4 linked regions of the Arabidopsis thaliana genome follow. The protein of the gene in region 3 interacts with the protein of the main gene of each other region in a pairwise test. Each region holds a gene or a part of one and is shown on either strand. Other genes may lie near its edges. The genes, in order: SGR5, DDL, AT3G21810 and IDD14.

Region 1 (5,058 bases), on a different chromosome or scaffold from region 3:
AATCTCATCTTAGGAAATGATTACAAACACGATCTCATTTCTTTCCTTTATACAAAGCTGTCACCGTAGTAACTCGATCACATCTTCTCGTCTAATTTGTTCTGTTTTTCCTTTCGGTCCATTTAGAACCAATTTTTGACAACTGACAAAAAACATTATGAGGTATCTTTTGTTTCTTTTATCTGCAAATTAATTTATTATTCGGCAATAACAAAAATAAAAACAACTAGTAGCGAATAGCGATCAAGCTAAGGAAGGAATACATATGGCATTTACAATTGAAACAGAGAAAATGTGTTAAAGTAACAAAACTTATGATTGAGAAAATTTAAACCATAATTGAAACAGAGAAAATGTGTTAAAGTAACAAAACTTATGATTGAGAAAATTTAAACCATAATAATGATTAATTTTGGTAGTCTACATATGAGTTCCATCAAAAAAAAAAAAATGTTTTCATATAAGATTCATTTCATTCTTGATCCAGTAACATTCTTAGATCTGTTAATGAACCTTCTTAAGGAATGACTGAGAAGAAAGGCAATAGCCTAAAAGGAATCGACAGTGGAGAGTGGAGGGAAAAAGAGGTCACGTGAGTAAGACATAAGGTCACGTGCGCGAGGGATCGAATATGAATTTTACTAAAATAGGGTTTTATAAAAACATACTAATACTACTTTCACATTTACTCTTGGTTTGAATTATTTTTATACGCATGTATAATTTGATATATTTGTCTTTTTTCTTCCCCTAACTATGTATGGGCACTAGTACATCCATTATATAAGCCAAATAGAAAGAAAAAATAATAGTTTGTCTGCATTATTGTAAACTTACAGAATTTGGTATTTAATGCAATAATGCATTTTTATCCTTGGATTATTCACAAGAACCATATACCTTTTTTTTTCTCTCCTTGTTTCCAAGTGTAATTCGAAAAGAATCTTAACATGTATGTGGACCAACGTTGGAAACATGATGACATAACATTCATATATAGTTAACAATGACAATTTTTCTTAAATTGTCTATATATTATTGGATTGCTTTAACAATAATGAAACGCAAGATGTATTAGTGATGTATAATCACACTATTTATAGGACTTGAGAGTGACAGTCAAAAAGTTAATTAGAAGTAATGAAGTATCTTAACCTTATTATTTAATTGCTTCTTACATCATCTAAGAGTTAGCACCGTATCGATATTCATAAATTCTCTCCTAATTTGCAGATACAATACAACTATTGCTATTTTAAGCCTCTAACCTGCATAATATTTTGATGAAAGGCAAGCCTTACATGTGGACGTATGATCTCATATATTTTTTTTTTTCATTTGTTAGAAGAAACTCATGTAGATAATCTCAAACATAAAATAAAATGTTTCAAAAAAAAAAAAAAAAATAGTTTGTGAAGGTTCAAGAAAATCAGACAAATTCATCAATCAGACAAGATATGGGTCCAAGCCAAAAAATTCATATATCCAACATGCTCAAAGAAACAAAGTCTAAAAAATAAATACAAAATAACAAAAAGAAAAATCTAAAATCTACATCTAAATCTAAATAAATACACCACCTTCTCTCTCTCTCTCTCTAGCTACACGAGTGTATGTATACATTTTACGCAATGATGGCATAGTGCAATGAGCTTTATAAGTAGAAGCAATATAGACATCAAAGACCCCTTATTTGCTCTCAACTCTCAAGTGTATGAGAGAGAAATAGGTTTTTGAAGAAGAGTCAAAATATATACCCAAAGAGAGAGCTAGAGAGAGAGAGACTCAAGAAAATTAAAAAGCTTTCATCATATTAACATAAGAGAAACTTTGAAGAGCCTAAGAAAAAGTTTTGAAAAGCCTTTGTTGCAGAAAGCTTAAAAGAACTTTTTCTCTCCCCCTATATCTCTCTTTATCACCCTTCCTCTTCTTTGTAAAGCTGAATCTCCCACTATCTCTTCTTCTTTCATTTTTTTTTTTTTTTGGTCTTTGGGCCTTGTTCTTTCATCAAATCAATCTCTAGAATCCAAATACAATAAAGTCAAAAAGAAAGATCAAGAAAAGTAGAGTAATTGATGAGAACAGATCAAGTGATGTTGTCCAACAAGAACACAAACACATGTTGTGTGGTTTCTTCTTCTTCTTCTGATCCTTTCCTCTCCTCTTCAGAAAATGGGGTCACCACCACAAACACATCCACTCAGAAGAGGAAAAGAAGACCTGCAGGTACCCCAGGTAATAATAAATCCCCACTACAGAAAATTTATTTTTCAAAATCTTTTTTTCTTGTTTTTATTTTCTTATGAAAATTTTCAACTCATGGGTACTATTGTTTTTTGTTTTTTTTTTCTCTTAAACCCCATTAGAAATACAGGTTTATTATAGGTTTAGTTTTAAAATTTCTCTTTTTCTTATTGCCAGTTTCAAAGTTATAGGTACAATTAATGGGTTTTCATTGTTTTTAATTCTTAAACCTCATTTAAAATCTCAACTTTATTAATCAACTAAGACATGTGTTTTGATGGGTTTTGCCTTATCTCCTTTTCAGATCCAGATGCAGAAGTTGTGTCTTTATCACCAAGAACTCTTCTTGAATCAGACAGATACATATGTGAGATCTGTAACCAAGGGTTTCAAAGAGACCAGAATCTCCAGATGCATAGAAGACGTCACAAAGTTCCATGGAAGCTTCTTAAAAGAGACAACAACATAGAGGTGAAGAAACGAGTCTATGTTTGCCCTGAACCCACTTGCCTTCACCATAATCCTTGTCATGCTCTGGGAGATCTTGTCGGCATCAAAAAACATTTCAGAAGAAAACATAGTAACCATAAGCAATGGGTTTGTGAGAGATGCTCTAAAGGTTATGCTGTTCAATCTGATTACAAAGCTCATCTCAAAACTTGTGGTACTAGAGGACATTCTTGTGACTGTGGTCGTGTCTTCTCCAGGTATAATTTCTTGTTCCTCTCTATCATTTGATTTTTTTTTGACCCATTTTATAAATTAATTATTGGTATTATTAATTCTGAAAAGATATGCAAACTTTTGGAAGGATTTGTTAAGTATTTCTAAAATATACAAGTAATTTGACTCTGTTTGTTTTGTATATTTAGGAGATCATATAGAAAGACAAATATAGAAAATTCTTCTAGGGACCAAAGACTAAGATTGATAGTTATAGTACTATTTGATTTGACTATCCTTCATGATTTTTACTAATTCTGTGTATTGATGTGTATGCATCAGAGTTTTTTAATATATCTCTTGACTATTTGTTTGGTTTTTGTGACATAAAAAGAAAGTTAAGCACTTAGATTAATGACATTGACCCCAATCTCTAAAGAAATATTTTATGTATTTAGGTTATTATTGGACCTTTTTTCGACACAAAGGTTATAATTGGACCTAAACTCATATTAATAATATATATTTTTGAGTTCAAAGGTATTTAATAAACGACGTTTAAACAGAAAAACTTAATATAAAATTATTAACTTTGTCACATTTTCATAATCCTACGTCATATAAATTATGTAATTGATAGGTTTCTTTTCTTCTTTTAGGGTGGAGAGTTTTATTGAACATCAAGATAATTGTTCCGCACGGAGAGTTCACCGTGAACCGCCTCGACCACCACAAACCGCGGTAACAGTCCCGGCATGCTCTTCTAGAACCGCCTCAACCGTCAGCACTCCGTCTAGTGAAACCAATTACGGCGGTACAGTTGCGGTTACGACTCCTCAACCTCTAGAAGGCCGTCCAATTCATCAGAGAATCTCATCTTCAATTCTCACCAACTCATCAAACAATCTCAACCTCGAACTCCAACTTCTTCCATTATCGTCGAATCAAAACCCTAATCAAGAAAACCAACAACAAAAAGTTAAAGAACCATCTCATCATCATAATCATAATCATGATACCACAAACTTAAACCTCTCCATTGCACCATCATCATCATATCAACATTACAACAACTTTGATCGTATAAAAGAGATTATGGCGAGCGAGCAAATTATGAAGATAGCGATGAAGGAGAAAGCTTACGCTGAGGAAGCTAAAAGAGAAGCCAAGAGGCAACGAGAGATAGCGGAAAACGAGTTTGCAAATGCCAAAAAGATTAGGCAAAAAGCACAAGCTGAACTCGAGAGAGCTAAGTTTTTAAAGGAACAATCTATGAAGAAGATAAGTTCAACGATCATGCAGGTCACTTGTCAAACATGTAAAGGACAGTTTCAAGCAGTTGCGGTTCCGGCGGCTACGGCTGATGAGACGTCTCTTGTCGTGAGTTACATGTCGTCAGCGAATACTGACGGAGAGTTGGAAAATGGTTTTTAAGTAAAACCGAAGAAAACATAAGATATTTAAATTGAGGTTAACTTTATTATACTTTTGTGTATTAATTACCGGTTGTGTTAATTTTTTCAACTACCATATATTATGTAATGGTTGTTATATAGTTGTTTCTTTGGTCCAACAATATTAGACTATGTTTTGTAACTATGTTACTGTCATTTCCGCCACATTACACTTTAAATTGTTGAAAAATGATTTTATCCTAGGTTTCATATAGAACCTTAAAATTAAATTTTATCAACAAAAAAAAAACCTTGAAATTAACTATTTAAATTTTTATATAGATATTTTTTCGTCTTGAACGTCTACAGTAGTTTAGAAGGAGTTAAGAGTGGAGATCCGTACATGCGTGTTTTGATCTTTGGCCTTAGATTCGCTTAGAACTTTCAATGGATATACAATTTTTTTAATAAAACATGTGATATGCGGATTTGAATTCGGTTAAATATACATTTGCTTATCCTTGATTTGTCTACATTATTTTTGGTAAGCTTGAGGTGATATATTTGAAAACAAATCTCACGTTTTAAGGATCAAAACAGTCCCTGCATGATAGAGATTATCGACATCTAATGTATACCAGTATATTTAGTAAGTTTGAAAGAGGGTAAGTAGTTGCTTGGCACGAGTTGATATATGGAGTGATGGGAAATGTACTATTATGATGTCGTTTTGGTCCGTGACCGTTACACTTATAAC
Region 2 (6,003 bases), 510 kb from region 3:
TAAATTGTAATCTTTTTAGTTAGCACACAATATATAACATAACAACATAAAGTACTTTTGATGGGTGAACCTAAATGTATTTTGGTAGTTTTCCAATAAAAGTGTTAATTTAGATAAAAACATTTGCCTAATGATACATTTGCCTGATGATAATCACAAATTCACAGAAACAGTAGATAAGGATCAAATTTTATATTGTCCATTAATGAAAATAATTTCGATAGAAGCTGAAACAAGATATATTAATTTCATTTTAGCTTATATTCTCCGTTATCTAGCGTTTGATGTAACATTTATAAGTATATATCTGTATTAAGTACAAGAATTTGTTGAGGAAGGAAAAAGTGTTCTTACAAACAAAAATATAAATTTGTCAATGATGGAGACATGTAATTCGTGGGGAACTGCTACTAAGTGTTTAACGATAATATATATGGTTTATAACGTGACAAGGTGATGATAGTCAATTCATCTATTTGAAAATCCTTCAACAAAAAAACAGAAAACGTGATGAAGGCAACATTAGGCTAACACCACAAATAGCTAATTGATATATAAATATAGTCGGTCCACGTTCTCGAACCTTTATAGTCCGGCAGGATAATTATTTTACTATTGTCTAGCTTACAAAACATGTACGACATATTGCACTTTTAGATTGTGAGATACGAATTGTGTGAATTTGTAAAGTTAGTACCGAATCTTTGATGGTTGTTATAATAATTTGCCTCTTTTTCATCAGCAATCTATGACGTAAGAGGCTACGTATGTTCGCTTAAAATTTGACCTAATTTGGACTTTGTCATAGTGAAACCGTATGACAATAACGAAGAAGGTGACGGTGACCGATTCTGATATATGTGACAGTCTAGCCAGTATTTTGCAAAACATAAGATACTAATGAAGTGCATGATGCATGACCGATATTTGAATTAGATATACAAGCCGGCTGGTAGATCATTAGACAACATTTGTTTGTGTGTCTATGATGCGAAAAAAATAAATATTCTCAATCTTTGACAAAAAATATAATAATGACAAAGTACATATCGTTTTGTTCATACGTAAACAAGAATTAGTTTTTAATCGTCTATAATATTGGCGTACACTAGTATATACATGAAACTAAAGATACATCAAATAAACAAGGAGACATGATTTGGGATTCGATGAGCCATCACCCGACAAACCAAAGCATCACCCGAGAAACTCATACTGACCCGTCTCTAAAGCTCGAGTCTATGAATGCTGTCTTCCACATAAGCTTCAAGGCCAACAGTTGCGACTACAAATCGGTAGTAAGGAGAACTACAGATGGGATTTCAGGACATATGTTCCTCGAAGTTGAAAATTTCTCTCCACAAGTTCCTTCATGAGAGGATCAAAGTTGGTGGTAAACCTGGTGCACTCTGTTACAATCAGAACAAGATCACTGTCACTTCTGATGGTTTATGTCGTTTAGCTATCCACCTCAACTATATCTATGATCTTGTATTTGTCTTCTATCCTATCAAAGTTGGTGGTAAAGCTGGTGCACTCGATTTGTTACAGGCTCACCGATTTGTTTGATGATCAATTATAAAATCTTTGTTGCAAACTAGGACGAAGAAACAAAAATCTCGAAGGAAGTACAAGGGTACGACGTTACAAGCGGCTTCTGCCCTAATTATACATATCCTTTCTACCAAACAAGATATGACACGTGTCAACTAATGGAAGTTTTACCATACCGTCTACAATTTGTTTGATATTGAACCCCTCAGTTTCCATTTATTTGCAAAAGAGGCCAAATAAATGATTCTTCTCGTTTTGGCTCTGATTCTTTTTATCTCTGCGATTATTATTATTCACTCTCTCCTCTTCTCTCCGCCGAAGTAGTCACAGTTCCGGCCACCAGGTAAAATTTTTCTTTCTCGTTATGCAGCGATTTTTTCTCTTAACGATTCTTGCAACCCTAGACTATGCCCGGAACTTCTGAATTTAGTATTTGAAATCTGTAGCTTACGTTTTTTGGTTTAGGGCTTTTGCTCCATTTCTAGTTTCTATGCATTTGGGAATTAGGGTTTACTGTGTTATCTGGAGCTCACATGCCTTTTCCTTCTGACCCTGGTTTCAATTTGTGATCTTTCCAAAGGCAAAGAAGAGAGAAAACGACCCTGACTCCAATAATGGCTCCTAGTTCTAGGTCTCCTTCACCACGTACGAAGAGACTGAGAAGAGCTCGAGGAGAGAAGGAAATTGGGAGAAGTAGAGAGAGAGAAGATGATGGTAGAGAAAGGGAGAAGAGAAACAGTAGGGAAAGGGATAGAGATATAGGAAGAGATAGGGATAGGGAGAGAAAAGGAGAAGGAGAAAGAGATAGGGAAGTTGGGGATAAGAGAAGACGATCAGGGAGAGAGGATACTGAAAAAAGGAGAAGGACAAGAACAGATGATGAGAGATACTCTAGAGGAAGACATGAGAGGTCTACTTCACCGTCAGATAGGAGTCACAGGAGTAGTAGGCGTTCACCTGAAAGAGCTATTGCCTCAAGGCATGATGAGGTATTTCTGCTTCTTTCTTTAGCTTGGATATGTTCTTAATCTCAGAAGTGTTTTTTTTTTTGTTTTGGGTTTTACTTGTGCATATTCGTATTCTGCTTGAAAAGATAAATGTGATTGAAATTGTTTAGCTCTGATGTATGCTAGAAAAGGTTAGCCTCTGCTGCTTGTTTCGTCACATAATAAATAATTGGAATCCTGTAATCTAGCTTATCCATCTCGTGAGTCTATAACTAGAACCTGCAGCCAGCCATTTTTTGCTTACTCTGTTGCTAAAGGACTTAAGAAAGATAGTCTCTTTGTTTCCCTTCAGCATGTCCAGTAACATCACTTCTCATGTTTCTCTCTTTTTAGTAAAAGCTCATTATATAGATTATGGTTGCTTTCTGCAAATTATCATTTTCTGCGAGCCACAGATTTTTGTTACTTCTTCAGTCATTTTTATCGCCTTTTGTCTTTTCAGGGGTCTAATGCAAGAGGGGGCAGCGAGGAGCCGTGAGTTTTCTTCTTATTAGATTAGCCGTTACAATTTTTCAGTCTTTCTTTTAACCATGTTATGGGTTTTCGTTAACAGAAATGTCGAGGAAGATTCAGTCGCGAGAATGAGAGCAGTTGAAGAGGCTCTGGCAGCGAAGAAAAAGGTATTATATCAAGCCCTATTGATTTTCAATTTCCAATGTCATTTTGAGCTCGCTTAGCTCATCCATGCATAAATGCTAACGCTTCAAATCTAATTTTGATATATCTTGTAGGAAGAACCATCATTTGAGCTATCAGGGAAACTTGCTGAAGAAACTAACAGATACAGAGGTGAAACTTCTGATCCGTCCATTTCATTTAAGAATATCACCTGTTACCATTACCTTGTGCTAGAAACTTTTGCCATAGTGTTTTCATTGCATGTTTGAACTGCGAAACATCTGCCTTTGTTGTCAGGTCATATTTACTTAATTTTGTATGCGTACGTGTCTGTCACTGGGTAAAAGCTTTCTTTGGTCAATATCTAATGAGACTAGAAGCTTCAATATATAAGCATCTGCTATCAGCAGATATCTTTTGACTGCCAATCCGCTTTTGCTCCTAGGAATGGAGACGGTGGTTTCTCGCATTAAATTTCACCATAGGCATGCTTAGCTTCCTTGACTGAGTGAATCCTTTGCAGGTATCACACTCCTCTTCAATGAGCCCCCAGAGGCTAGAAAACCCAGCGAACGATGGAGACTGTATGTTTTTAAGGATGGTGAACCACTGAATGGTGAGTCTTTGACGTCTTCCACATCTCTATCCATCTGTCTAAGTAGTGGTTCATTTGTCTTCTATGTATTTCACTTAACTATCTTACTGTGGTGAACGTCAATTTTTTGTCCACAAAATATGCAGTAAAGCATGTAGTGGCAATGAAAGAGATACTCAAGAAATTTTGATGCACTCTAGCCATGTAAACTTGAAAACTGTGGTCATTGATGGTTTAGTGTCCAGATAACAGCGTGATTACCGATAGTAGCCAAACTATAGCTTGATACTTCTTAGAACTTGTCAATTTTCTTAGAATGAATCTTATTATGAATGTTAATGACTCTTAGAGGAAAAATAGCTCCTTTGATCTGATATGTTTGTGACTGTGGCTTCCCGTGTCATTCTTACTTTGAACCCCTGAACATTGTATATAAGATTTTACATTTTGTTTCCCATTTCTGTTTGCTTAATAATTCTGAATGCCCTGAATCAGTTTTCTTGATGTATGTTTCTGTGCATGTGAAATGTGTTGGACTAACAGAGCCACTCTGCCTTCACCGCCAAAGCTGCTACCTCTTTGGACGTGAAAGAAGGATTGCCGACATTCCTACGGATCACCCATCTTGCAGCAAGCAGCATGCTGTCATTCAGTACCGGTAGGGTTCTGACATGTATTTCTCCTTTTAAGTAGTAATATCTATGACAATAGATTTAATGAGAATAAGGTTTTTAGTTTAATATTTATGTCACTGTGAATGTGCTTTTCTCAGGGAAATGGAAAAGGAGAAACCAGATGGTATGATGGGGAAGCAAGTGAAGTAAAACCTATCTGCTCTTTCATTTTGCTTAAAATTTGTACCTCTTCTGGCTTTAAGCTAAATTTTAATTTCCCTTAATGTCACTTTCCAGGCCTTACATAATGGATCTTGGTAGTACCAACAAAACTTATATCAATGTAAGTGCTCAATTACATTCCTTCTTATGTGCTTCTTTATCATGGTTAATTCAAACGTTTGTGATTAGAACTTCTTTTACTTTTTCAGGAAAGTCCCATTGAGCCACAAAGATATTATGAGCTTTTTGAGAAAGACACCATAAAGTTTGGCAACAGCAGGTATTCTAATGAAGACACATTCTAGTTCTGGTTTCCCATTATGAATCATACCCCGTGCCTATTCTCTGTGATTAATCTTTGCTTGCTGTGCAGTTAACATCTACTTTCTTCTGTTCTTGACATGTTTTGTTCTTTTGGTTGCAGCCGAGAGTACGTACTGTTGCACGAGAATTCTGCCGAGTGAATGAAATCAGAGTCAAGCAGAAACGAGTAAATCACAAGATTAGATAGTTGCGTTTCTCAGGGTTTTTAGAGATGTTTGAGCTGCTTCATGTATGCTTTCTACCGTGCTGGTGATAATCTCAGACATCATTTAGAAATCTTTTGCTTGCTTGTTATATAATAAATGATGATGAACGATTGGTAAGAGAAAAAGGTTAACTTTTGGTATAACTGTATAAGATCAATCTCTACTTTAAAATTGTCGCTCCCTGAGGGTTTCGACCTAACTTAACGTAGAAACATGGAGACGACTGAGATTTCAACTAGAGTTACCAAAACGGACATCACTTTCTTAGTAAGATAAAGCTAACTCTGCGATTGAAAACTACTTATTTGTCAAGCCTTTAGTGAGGGATTCAAGGATCAAGTCACGGATCTCCTCCCTGCTTGCTCAGTCAAGAGTGGTTCTGCCGTCAGCATCCTTAACCGTGTAGTCAGCGTTTGAGAAGCTCTTCAATTTTAGGCTTGTCTCCCTCCGAGACTGCTAGCATTAAAAGGATGTCGACATGGTGCATCTTATCTTAGGTACCTTCCACCGCAAGTATCCCCATGTAGTTAAAATACTGCAAATAACACAGAAACGACAATAATAAATCTAACATTTCCTCTGTTTTCTTCATTCACAAACTCAGACACAACCACGTACGGAAGCTTTTATAAGCGCCCTTGTAACAAAACAAAGATTGACATATTTGACTCTAGAAGCTTGAAGTGAACACGAACCTGTTCGACGTCGTCTCTGTCAAAATCATCACGTGACTGGCTGCCATAGATTCCAGCATTCTCAGCATCGACGCCGTTCTTTCCGAACTTAAACGAGGCAGTGGCTCTGACCTATTGGAGGGTCCGAGTCGGATAAGTCTGATCCCGAGATTCACAACCCTAGTTCCA
Region 3 (6,774 bases):
CTGAATTGTTACACACACTGAGGCTTTATTAGTTTGATTTGTTTTTGTTTATTGGGGAAATTTGGTTTGCGATGATGATAAAATAGCACGAAGGTGCGTGAAGGGCAGTGGACAAAGCAATGAAAATTTGTTTTGCCGTGAGCTCTCTTTAATAAACGACTTCTCCTTCCACTGAGCATTTTTTAGATCTTCCCTAAATCTTTGTGTTTGTTATTATTGTTGTTAATAATGAATGGCGTCTTTTACCAATTCTGAAGGATTAAATATGGTTCCTTTAGGTATAATGGCATTGACGCAATATTGATTGTGGTATATCCTGATCATTTGGCTTTTTTTTCTATGTTATTTGATCCTGGAAATGCCTCACACATTTGTTCTATCTTCTTTTTCATTATTTACGAATTGGGTTTCCTCTGAATTTACGATGAGGTTTGTTGGTTGAATATAAAGTTGTTGGAGCGAGATGGATTGTTTGGAGTGCAATGATGTTTTCTTTTCTCAGATTTGGTTTTTCTAACTGAAATTGATGATTGTTCTGTTTTATTATTCGATTAAGACCGTCTCCAATATTAATCCCTATTTTTTCGTTGGAGATGCTCTTGCTTCTTCCTGTTTTAGTTGTCAAAAGTCTTATGATTGTTAATCATTTGATTAAAGACATTCGCATACAATTCTGTTATCAATAATGAGAAGGAAAATGTGATGATTTAACATACGGAACAATTATGGTTGCTGTCATTACTTATACGAGTTCGATGTTGAGAATTGTTGGTGGATAATTTGTGTTGCCTTCTTGATTTCCTGCGTTGAAACAAAAAGGTTGCCACATTTTGCTGGATGAAGAATTGTTGGTTCTGTGTGATGTTGTTTATGTGATCTTCAGGTGTGATCTTACATGAGAGACTAAAAAGAGAGCAACGGGTTTGGTTTGAGTTTGTTTAGGTCAAACCATCAGAGAGACATTACGAGATATCGTATCATACCCTTGGGCCAATTCTGCAATATGCGTTGGAGTTTTGTTAATCTTGATCATACCTTTCATATGCCTATTATCGGCTTTATTGACTTAGTTGTATCACTTGGTCCTATACTCCTTGTTCCCTTTCTCTGATAAGTCTATGACTTCGCTGTTATGATCATTGCGTTTGGTTTTTGTCGTCCCTGTTTGTAAATTTGCCAAGATTGAAAATGTAATTTCGAAGAACCAAAATTGTATCACAAGGCAAATATTTTATATACTTCTAACTCTCCCAAAATATCGAGCATTATCTTAATATCTTTACTATGTCAACTTTTGGCAAAACTTTATTAGAAATCTGAAAATAAAACTCACAAGATTAATTATTTTTCAGAAAAGAGAAACTAATATATAGGACTTACCTATATTAATTGTTTAGAGATATTCATACTCCATTTACTTGAACTTTTTTATTAAGTGTTCAGATTATGTTCCATCTCTTGTATTTTATTGCTTTTTTCTCTACACATAAGAACCTTTCAGTTTCCATTTATGAAGATTTATAAAATGGTACAGATACTTTAGTAAAATGTTGTATCATTATATGGAGAGATGTACAAATTTATATAGAGATAATATTCAGTAATTTAATTTAGACAGATCATACAAATGTTAATAACAAAAAAGAAAAAGAAAAAAGACAAAACTGGAATAGAATTAGAGAACTAAATACCTCTAATTAAACCGGATTTGATGGTAGTATACAAAACCAAAATCTTGACATTTTGTTAATCCTTCGAATACATAAGGGCAAAATAGTAAAATACCAGCTCTGTTTTTACTTATTTTCTTTCTTAAAAGAAATATATAAATACGAAGGATCGATCCTTAAATTGTTTCAGCTTTCTTTTTGTTTTCATTTTCCGGTAATATCATTTTCGTCCGACTTGTTTTCTCCTCCTTGCCGTTAAGTTCCATTGAAGAAGAAGAAGAAGAAGGTGTGATTCAACGATAAACCTAGCGAGAAAACGAACCGCATAAAATCGCCATTGTAGGTTTTCGATTTTCTCAGTCTTACATAGCTCGAAATTGATGTATAACTGGTTTTTATTCATGCTCGATTCTAGAGATTTTTAGAAAATCCTATTCCAGTGAGAATCTAGAGATTTCCATTTTGAAGCGTTTCTTCTGTTTCGTATGTAGGAACGAGACGGTGGTGTTAATCTATGGTTATGGAGGTTTGCTTGACTTTTTGAGGTTGGCTTGACTTTTGAAGTTTTGATCTGAAGAAAAGAGGTTTCGTTGTAATTGGTTTATACATCATGTCTGGGTCGAGTATGTATAAGACGAAGCTTTGTATTCTGTTCAATAAGACTGGTGATTGTTCGAGGCCGAATTGTACTTTTGCTCATGGAAATGCTGAGCTTCGTCGTCCTGGCGAATCTTCTTTTACAGGTAATGTTTTCGTTTATGCATTTGAATAGGCTATTTATTCTGGTTTAAGTTTGTTAATGGTGGAAGGATTGATGAATTTATGAGTGCTTCTTTTTATTAGAGTAAAATAGAAAAGTTTTTATTTAATTAAGTCTCTTTTGCTTAGACTTTGCAAGATTTTTATATTATACTTTGATGATTCTGTGAAGTATTTTTCTTCTGAAGTTTTGTGGTTCAATGCATTTGCTTTGTGAGTATTATTCCATATTTTATGAGATTGTGTAAAACGTTTCAGCCTACAGTGTTCTGTTTGATAAACACATGGTAATGGTATCAGTATTATACTTTGCTTTGGATTTGGTTTTCTCCATATCAACTTTTACTGACTAGTTTTGTCCTGCGGAATCATTCTGGAATATGCAGAAAGATAGCTACTCACAGGCTTAGTATTATTTTTTATCCGGGAATGGAATCTACTGGTCTTTCTGGCTGCAATTTATATTGGTTTTCTTATTGGAGTGGAATCTGCTGGGTTTTTTTGTGGTGAAATTTATCTTGGTTTTCTTATTGCTCTTGAAAGCACATTCTTTATGAAGAAAATCTATCATGGGTTTTGCGGGGTACTTATTCTTCGACAACTATGGTTTTCAGACTCCCGAGATTTGGTTGCAAGCAATGCTTGTTATTAGGATTTATCAATGCCTGTTGTTATTACTTCTGGCATTTTCATACTTCCAGTTATGTATGTGGAGCACGTGGTATTTTCTGTGATTATTTATATCTTCAATGGTCTTTCAAGCGGTTTCTTGGATCAAGAAATATGCAGTTTATGGGGGTTTGATTGTCAGTATATCAAATTTGGTGGATTTTGATTGTGTAATTAAATGGAACTTCAAGATTGGTTCTTATTTTCTCTCGTCCAACATAATCTGAAGCCTTCTCAACCTATGATTTATCAATGAGATTCAGTGACTCCACTTATTTAGTACCCAATTGTGGTTTCTTTCCAACTGCTGGTAAGAAGAGGACATTATATTGTGGTCTCTTTGAACTGGGAAGTAATCACCATTACGTTTTTCTTTATGTTACTAGTAGTTTTCTGTGATCTTATCCAAGTGTTGTTGACTGGCATGATTCTGATTGTTTGAAATGGAGTTCACATCTGTAGCACAAGTATGCTTTACTGCAAAGTCTGTTTCGTCTACTGCAGGAAGACGTCACAATATGGATAGTGACTTAAGAGATAGACGTCACAATATGGATAGTGACTTAAGAGATAGACTTGGTAGACAGTTTTCTCCAGAGCGGAGACCTTCCTTAGACAGAAGTGGAAGACGGGTACAAAGGTTTAGTGGTAAGATCTACAGCTTTGGGTTTATGGAGTTCTGTTGTCGATTAGGCAGAGTCAAAAGTCTCTGTCAACTGTTTGTTCTGTATTTCTTTCTTTTCTTATTACCGACGGAATTCAAATTTGCAGGACATGACAATTCTATGCCATTTGAGAATCGAAGGTATCTTCTCCCCTCGGTTTTGCTTATGCTCATGCTATGTGAAATTTCAGTGGTAATTTGATGGCCATGCTTTAACAATGCGGCTTTATATTTCTTATTATCACAGAGATAAAGACTACAGGGAGAACCGTAGATTTGATGAACGACGTGATTATGCTGGTGGTTTGAAAGTTGGGAATAGGATTGAAGACAGGGCAGAAGATGGAAGAAATAAGTTTCATGGTTACAATAATGTTCTGGAAGAGCAGGTTCGAAACTTTCATTTTCTTGGTTGGGTGTTAGTTGAGGACGTGATTTCGCTTTATCTTAATCTAATGTTTAGTGGATGTAAACATTTGTAAAGATGTTGCTAAAGGACCCAAGTCCAATTTGTCTATATGCAGTTAAAAGATGTAGAGATGGATGTTAAGATGCTAACTGATGACAAACTACGATTGGAGGTAAATTTCTCCATTCCACAATTGATTTGATTGCATCGTAAATACGAGTTAATTGACAAATTTCTTTTGTCCAAAGGCGTCCGTTGAAAGGAAGGCACATGAAGTAGACATTCTTACTTCTAGGATCCAGGAGCTTGAGACCCAGTTGGATAGAGAGAAAGATGAATGTAGGAGGTAATGACTAATTCCTTTTTGATGTTTGCTTGAAATTAATTATGATGCGATATACTTGAAGAAACTTTATTTGGCAAATCTGGGACTTGATCTTCTGGTGACAAGTATTGTTCAATCCTTTTGTGTGTCAGGATTACTTCAAGCTCGAAGAAATTTGTGAAAGAATATAACCGTTTCTTGCGGGCACAAGATGATCTAAAGAGGCAAGGCATTTATCTCTATTTCTAATTGCTTCTTATTTAAGAATGCAAAAATTCATTCAATAACACAATGCCAAACCTATAGGTCAGAAGCCCGTCTTCAGAAATTGGGAAACCAACTTAGTACGTATCTTGCTGGAAGTGAAGGCAATAATAGGGATGTAGGCCTGGATATTGTGAGCGATGAAGAGACTAATGGTCGGAATTTGAGAACTGCTTGTGATCCACATAACGAGTTGCAGAATACTTCTTCACTGTCCAGGAAAAAGCATTATGTGGATCAATATACTACGAAAGAACCTGTTGAAGATGGTAAACTTATCTATACTATTAGATTTATGTCTAAACTAAAAATCAGTTCATACACACGTTATGAACCTTCTCCATCTGTTTTAGGCTTGATAGGGAGAGGTGAAGAAGAGAAGGTGGAGAATGAGAAGAAGAGACCACCTTGTTGGAATATGCTTTCTTCAAAATCATATTCTGAAGAAGAAAGTGGAGCGTGGAACGATGAAGACACAATTAACAGGTCCTCGTCAAAGGAAGACAATTGGAAAAGAAGAAGGTTCTCTATTGGCACCTCAGCTACCGATAAGGTACATCATCTTTCTTCTTCTGCAGAAATGGTGTTCACTTGAAGCAGATCGACGTTGGGGATCATGTTAATTCTTAGTGCTTTTGATGATCTTTCACGTTGTAGATGTGTTTTTGTTAAAAGCCGAGATAATAGACTTGGTTACATGGTTACGGTGCTTCAGGTTATATTGTCTACGAGTATGGCAGCTCGGGAATTTGATGATGTTGCAGAATCTGAGGAAGAGAATCCCGAAGCAGCCAACGGCTCTCCTCTCATATCTCTTCCTCCACCCCCACCTTTCAGAGATGCCCATGTTCAGGTAAGCACGAGTAGATTCTCGAAAACTTATGTTGGTAAACTAAATTTGCCAAAAAGTAAGTACTCGGAGATGATGATCCTCACGAATCTCGTGTGCTTTGTGTTCAGAGAGACGAGGATGATGTAAACGGTGATGTGATGGAACAGAAGAAAGCCTATGACGATGATTCCGTCTGATCAAGACTTTGAACATTAAAAAGTAGCCTGTTTGTTAGGTGCAATATTGACGACCATGATTAGAATCGGTACATGCTTTGTTCATCATCTTTAGATATATATTGAAAAAGAACTAAAGCTTGATCTTCAAACGAAGATGTCCTTTTATTGTTTCAATGTTGCGTAGAGAAACTAACGCCATACTCTTTATTTCAGTAGTGATTTCCAGTGTAATCACTATATAGGCAAAATTGAAAATTTCTGTTCTTTTGAAAACAAAAATTATGCTTCAAATTGATGAAGAATCTTCAAGACACTTAGAGCACTTGCAGCTGAAACCATAGTCTGCAAGTAATGCTTGTCTCTCTTTGTATGGAAGCTCCTCGTCGATATATGAAATCGTCACCTGTTGTTTTACATATGGAACTCAAAAGCAAGCTCTCTTTTCCAAAATATTCAATTGCTATTACGATTAAAGAGAAGATGCGTACCTCTTCGTTCTTGCTGATGCGTCTTAATGCAATTATCACTGCTTGTCCGTCTCTGTCCTGCAAAACCCACAAGACAAACGAGTTACACTTGGATTCAGTCTGAAAGTGTTGATGAAAAATCTTCGATCCTTAAGATTTGTAGGCCATAAAGAGGACGAAGATGTAAGAAGGATACCTCTTCTCTTTTGAAGGCTTTTGCATTAGGGCAACAAGAATGGTTCATACAGCTTTGCAGAGGGAAGAAGGCCGTTCCTAAACACAAATACAGATGATGTAATAATGTCAAATCTTGGTTACAAGTTACATAACTCCTCTGTTTTATGGTTACAATGTTCCCTTCATTTCTAACCTTGGCAACAGTCCGAGTACTCATCACCAAGAGCATCTAGAAACGGTCTTGTGATTTCCTCGGTTTCTTCCTATCATAATGAGAATAAGAAACTGGTAAGCGTCGATAGATTTTGGTCAAAGAACAAACAGGTGGAAAGCATTACTCTGTTCAGACCTTTTCTGCA
Region 4 (5,215 bases), on a different chromosome or scaffold from region 3:
TGTAGAAGACAACATCACCTGCAATGCTTTATAATTCTAGTGTTCTTGTTTTTCTTTTACAGGGATTAATTTCCAAAACTTTTCTTTCGTTCGCCAGTTTAGTTTCTTTTATTTGGAATTTTGTATTTTACTTTGGTTCCTATAGGCTACGCGTAACATTGGCACATACTACTTTTTCATGTATGTAAGTAATTTCTGTAAAAGGCTACATTAAAGTCAATACTCTCCGTTTTGGGTTTCAGTGAAATCTAAAAAATGTCAATTTTACTTTTGAAGTTGCAACTTTCAGATAGCAACAAGAGCGAACGAGACAAATGCCTCAGGTTTCAGTGTACAGCTCCACTAAATGGTTTTCGGGTGCTATTATTTGTTTCATATAAATACATAAATACTACTCCATTTTTTCTAATTTAATGAGTAGTATTAACAAAAAAAAGAGTTATAGATAATGCTAAGTCTAAAGACCGGGGTAAATTCAAGGTAATACAAGTCAACAACTAAAAAAAACTAATTAAGGTAGTGAATTGAGTTCACGCAATTAAATAAACTAGTTAAACGAGTAATTTGGACGAGGGTGAAGTTGCTACATGATCATAGTGGAGTTTAATTTACAAAAGAATAGGATAACAAAACTATATATATATATATATATATAACGTAGTGTCAAATAAATTAATTAGTGTGTTATTTTCAAATATACCCATAAAATCCTTTTATTTTCTAAAGAAAACACAAAATAAATAATCGAATTTAAGTATGATTTTTATCCATTATTTTTGCCAAATAGAGGGTTCTTTACTGCATATATTCCTTAAATAAAGGAAAGAGGTGACTATTATCCTAATTTCTTAAGTAAGAATGCGATTGTGAAAGTTTTGATATATCCAACTTTACAAAAAAAGAAAAAAAAGCATTGCATGTGATGAGAATCCATCTCCCCCATCCTCCCACCCATTCTTTCCAACTCAACCATCTCCTTTCTCTTCCTATTAATAAAGTATCATCTTCTTTTTGTTTCTCTTTTTATTTTTTAATGAAAAATAAAACTTTTAAAAAAATTTGTATTTACTTCAATTTTCTTACAGTTCCACTTGGATAGACAAATGCCCTTTAATGAGATGGTGGTGGACTTTAAGTATATGTTATACGCACAACACACACACACACACACACTTTTATAGACATGTTTTTTAATAAAGAAAATTCTTTCGAACATATTCCAGATCTCTAATTTTTCTTTTGTTTGAGATGTTATATAGAATTGGTCTCAGCTGACACTCAAAAACCAGATCTGACTCTAGGGTTTTGTGTTTGTTTTTTGTTTTTCTTGTAAGAAAAACTATATATTGGAAATTTTCTGATTCGTCTCACTTGTGGGCACAGTATTCATATTTGATTAAAACCTATTTCTTATATAAAAAGGCATGAGATGATGGCACCACATTGTATATTTGTATATATACGGAAACATAAATTGGGTATATGCATGTGTCTTATATTCAAAACAAATATTCTCAAGTCCCTTCCCTTTTTAATTTACACCAGCCCTATAGCTAAAGGCTACACATATATACATTTGTCACCATTAAAAAACATGTACTGTTAAACATCAAATTTCCAAGATTCCGTTTATATTTTTCACCTATCCTTTTTTTTATTTATCTTTGAAAAACAAAACTTACTCACTCTGATCGAATATTTTATGATATGAAATAATAATGACTTGTAATTGTTGTGTAGTGGAAGGGGATGTTTTTTTGTTTCTTGTCCTGATGCTAATGTGGGCTCCAAGCTCCTTGTCCCACTCTCTTTATATGTATAAACATCTCTCTCCATAGATATGTTTTGTGTTTGTAAACAAACAGTGTACAGATAGAGAAGAGAGAGGTTCATAACTACTCTGAAGAAGATTGAAGCACCAAAGACCATACAATGCATTTCTCCATCTAAGGTGAGAGGTCAATGAAACAATTAACAAAAAGTTGAAAGTTTCATTTATTTTTTTCTTTTCCAAGAAAATTATAAAAAGTTGGATAGTAAAAGGGAACAGAAAAGCTATTATCCCTTTATGTGAGAAAAAAAATAAAGATGATTTCAGAAAAACAAAGCCCTTTGTTTCTCTCTCTTAACTCATCTTATACTTTCTTCTTCTATTAGTAAAGATGAGTACTCTCTCTACCAAATAAATAAGGAAACATAAAAAACAATCTCTCCTTCTTTCTCTACATGAAAAACAAAAGATTCCTCAATTTTGTTCTTATTTTTCATTTAGTCACAGTACCTCTCTCACTATAAACCACACTGTCTTGAGATAAAATACAAAAAGAGAAGAGATTAAAAACCTCATCCGATGATAGACTACGAGAGAAGCAATACCACCAAGAACATCAACACCCATCATCACAACCCTCCTCCATCTTCATCTTCCTCTGATCTTCTTCCCGACGGTAATGGAACCGCCGTGACTCAGAAGCGGAAACGGAGACCCGCCGGGACACCGGGTATTTAACAATTTTCTTATCAAGAATTACTAGTTGTTAGATTCTATATCCGGAAAGTTATCAAATAGTTCTGTTAAAGATTTTGATTTATCCGGTGGCAGATCCGGAGGCGGAGGTGGTATCTTTATCACCAAGAACGTTACTAGAATCGGATCGGTACGTATGTGAGATCTGTAACCAAGGGTTTCAAAGGGACCAGAATCTACAGATGCATAGAAGACGACATAAAGTTCCATGGAAGCTTCTTAAAAGAGAGACCAACGAGGAAGTGAGGAAAAGAGTCTACGTCTGTCCGGAGCCGACATGTCTCCACCACAACCCTTGCCACGCGCTCGGAGATCTCGTGGGAATCAAGAAACACTTCCGACGGAAACATAGTAACCACAAGCAATGGATCTGCGAGCGATGCTCAAAAGGCTACGCAGTTCAATCTGATTACAAAGCTCATCTCAAAACCTGTGGCACTCGCGGCCACTCCTGTGACTGCGGCCGAGTTTTTTCCAGGTTCCATTCCTTAGTAACAAACCCTAGCTTTTTAATTTTTATTTTTATTATATATTTAGGATATATATTTATCGGAATCCTTAAAGTAAATCAAAGAATGTTTTTTCTAGTATGGCGTGTCCATGTTTTGATTTTTAGATAACGCACATAGATCTTGAAACAACGTTTACTAATGGAACCTGATGAGGTTTGTTTGGATGTACTGTTGTCTGAAAATACTTTTAATTAATTTAATAATTAGGAACTATGTTTTGATTACTCACGTTGACCCCATAATAGATTTCATTATCAAACTTTGTTAAGTATATACCATACTAAACCTCGAAGTCTTGCATATCTCATACTCAAATATATAATCCAAAAGATACCTAACTCCACTAACTTAATTATTTATATTATCTGTCACGAGATACAAATATTCCTTTGTGCTTTCCATTTTAGTTTAACTTATATAATACACTCTTATTTCTCAGAGTGGAAAGTTTCATAGAGCACCAAGACACTTGCACCGTACGCCGATCCCAACCCTCCAACCACCGTTTACATGAGCAGCAACAACATACCACAAACGCTACACAAACCGCTTCAACCGCGGAAAACAACGAGAACGGGGACCTCTCCATTGGTCCTATATTGCCTGGACATCCTTTACAAAGAAGACAATCCCCACCGTCGGAACAACAACCATCCACTTTGCTCTATCCCTTCGTTACTAATGGTAGTATCGAGCTTCAGCTACTTCCATCGAGGAATTGTGCTGATGAGACCAGCCTTAGTCTGTCTATAGGGACAATGGATCAAAAGACAATGTCGGAAGTTGAGAAGAAGAGCTACGAGAAGGGAGAAACGAGCCTAGAAAGAGAGGAGGCGAGAAGAGAAACAAAGAGGCAGATCGAAATCGCGGAATTGGAGTTTGCTGAAGCCAAGAGAATAAGGCAACATGCGAGAGCTGAGCTTCACAAAGCTCATCTTTTTAGAGAAGAAGCAAGTAGGAGGATTAGTGCAACGATGATGCAAATAACTTGCCACAATTGCAAGCAACATTTTCAAGCTCCGGCTGCTTTGGTTCCTCCTCCTCCTCAGACGCATTGTACCGATGAGAGCACGTCTCTGGCCGTGAGCTACATGTCTTCGGCGACTACCGAAGGAGAAAAGGCGAGTGATAGAGCATCTTCATAGACCTTGAAGAGAGAACACAAAAGAAAACAAATATTCTTCTTTTTTTTCTTTGATTGGAATTAAAGATCATCTTTTGATATTCGTTGGTTTTCTTACATATTCTTGGTTTGTGGGTTACCAGGTTTGGGTATTCACTGGGGGTTTGATTTTTTTTCTCTCAAACAAAAACCAAAGAAGAGAATAGTTTTTGTTGTATGAATTGTCTTGGGTCTGTTGGTTAACGTAATGTAATGAACGGGTTATAATTCTCAAGCATTCGTTAATTAGTTAGCTACAGAAATGTTGTTTTTCCATAGAGATAACTGATCTTAATTTTCAGTTTGGTTTGAGACTTTGAGTGTTTTGGATTTTATAGTTGAACTATTGTGACTTAAAAGTATTACCAATTCCTATTGTTCACACGAATATCTGCATTTTTCTTTTCTTTTCAGTCAATTATTTGCATTAAATGCAAGGGATAATAATTAGGTCAAATCGTGAGTCAAATTCTCAGGTAGAAACTAGAAACAATTCGCTCCATATCCCACGTCCGTGTAGACTGTAGTTTGAAATCGTCTAATTGAATGGTAAAATATTAAAATCTAATTCGATTAATTGTAGATTTTATTTGGATTTTGTGGGTTTTTGGTCTCAATGTGACCAAACAAGAAATCATATATTTTTACGTGAAGACAAAATCTCATGAGATATCTTTTGACCCTTATAGTTTGATGTGTTTTTCAAACACATAATAATAATATTTTTTTTAATGAATTTGAATTCATTAATAAAGTATGAGAGAGTTTGTAGAATATACCACCAAAAAAAAGATATTTAAAAAAAAAAACAAGAAAGAGCTAATGCAACAACAAACTGATTTGGTTTTCTCGATTAAACTTTAGGTTTATAGAAGAAAAAAAACCAATTTTGATCTCTGTGGACTTTCGTTTTAAAGCTTTAGTTTTCTCATTTTTCAAAAAATAAACAAGATTGATTAATAATATCTTTATAAGACTCTAGAAAACTGATTAAGAAAATCTGAAAGTAACAAC

Evidence for each region.
Region 1: the proteins of AT3G21810 (region 3) and SGR5 interact in a two-hybrid assay, tested with the Arabidopsis thaliana proteins (one large-scale study listed by BioGRID).
Region 2: the proteins of AT3G21810 (region 3) and DDL interact in a two-hybrid assay, tested with the Arabidopsis thaliana proteins (one large-scale study listed by BioGRID).
Region 4: the proteins of AT3G21810 (region 3) and IDD14 interact in a two-hybrid assay, tested with the Arabidopsis thaliana proteins (one large-scale study listed by BioGRID).

The regions. Positions count from the first base shown.
Region 1 is NC_003071.7:430,577-435,634, forward strand, and holds SGR5 (C2H2-like zinc finger protein), read left to right. Parts: upstream 1-1,698; 5' UTR 1,699-2,075; coding exon 2,076-2,235; intron 2,236-2,270; exon of another isoform or gene 2,271-2,435; intron 2,436-2,548; coding exon 2,549-2,935; coding exon of another isoform or gene 2,936-2,951; intron 2,952-3,547; coding exon 3,548-4,341; 3' UTR 4,342-4,501; downstream 4,502-5,058. UniProt on the Arabidopsis thaliana protein: Transcription factor involved in inflorescence stems gravitropism, probably by regulating starch accumulation in amyloplasts of graviperceptive cells. Required for stem circumnutation movements. Regulates lateral organ morphogenesis and gravitropic responses.
Region 2 is NC_003074.8:7,173,766-7,179,768, reverse strand, and holds DDL (SMAD/FHA domain-containing protein), read left to right. Parts: upstream 1-1,748; 5' UTR 1,749-1,897; intron 1,898-2,134; 5' UTR 2,135-2,168; coding exon 2,169-2,543; intron 2,544-3,003; coding exon 3,004-3,035; intron 3,036-3,114; coding exon 3,115-3,181; intron 3,182-3,292; coding exon 3,293-3,350; intron 3,351-3,702; coding exon 3,703-3,795; intron 3,796-4,317; coding exon 4,318-4,432; intron 4,433-4,546; coding exon 4,547-4,594; intron 4,595-4,685; coding exon 4,686-4,731; intron 4,732-4,819; coding exon 4,820-4,890; intron 4,891-5,034; coding exon 5,035-5,074; 3' UTR 5,075-5,333; downstream 5,334-6,003. Other genes in the region: AT3G20555 (uncharacterized protein), read left to right, coding at 1,155-1,295, 1,378-1,569. UniProt on the Arabidopsis thaliana protein: Involved in the microRNA (miRNA) and short interfering RNA (siRNA) biogenesis. May facilitate DCL1 to access or recognize primary miRNAs. Binds RNA non-specifically.
Region 3 is NC_003074.8:7,682,572-7,689,345, forward strand, and holds AT3G21810 (Zinc finger C-x8-C-x5-C-x3-H type family protein), read left to right. Parts: upstream 1-1,784; 5' UTR 1,785-2,009; intron 2,010-2,161; 5' UTR 2,162-2,280; coding exon 2,281-2,413; exon of another isoform or gene 2,414-3,541; coding exon of another isoform or gene 3,542-3,602; coding exon 3,603-3,746; intron 3,747-3,869; coding exon 3,870-3,903; intron 3,904-4,009; coding exon 4,010-4,151; intron 4,152-4,286; coding exon 4,287-4,343; intron 4,344-4,419; coding exon 4,420-4,517; intron 4,518-4,648; coding exon 4,649-4,720; intron 4,721-4,802; coding exon 4,803-5,029; intron 5,030-5,113; coding exon 5,114-5,313; intron 5,314-5,475; coding exon 5,476-5,613; intron 5,614-5,720; coding exon 5,721-5,789; 3' UTR 5,790-6,045; downstream 6,046-6,774. Other genes in the region: histone-lysine N-methyltransferase ATXR2, read right to left, coding at 6,058-6,174, 6,260-6,316, 6,435-6,511, 6,609-6,678, 6,765-6,774.
Region 4 is NC_003070.9:25,530,134-25,535,348, forward strand, and holds IDD14 (indeterminate(ID)-domain 14), read left to right. Parts: upstream 1-1,874; 5' UTR 1,875-2,350; coding exon 2,351-2,501; exon of another isoform or gene 2,502-2,602; coding exon 2,603-3,005; intron 3,006-3,478; coding exon 3,479-4,184; 3' UTR 4,185-4,545; downstream 4,546-5,215. UniProt on the Arabidopsis thaliana protein: Transcription factor regulating starch metabolism by binding directly to the promoter of QQS. The IDD14beta isoform attenuates the transcription factor activity by competitively forming heterodimers with reduced DNA-binding capacity.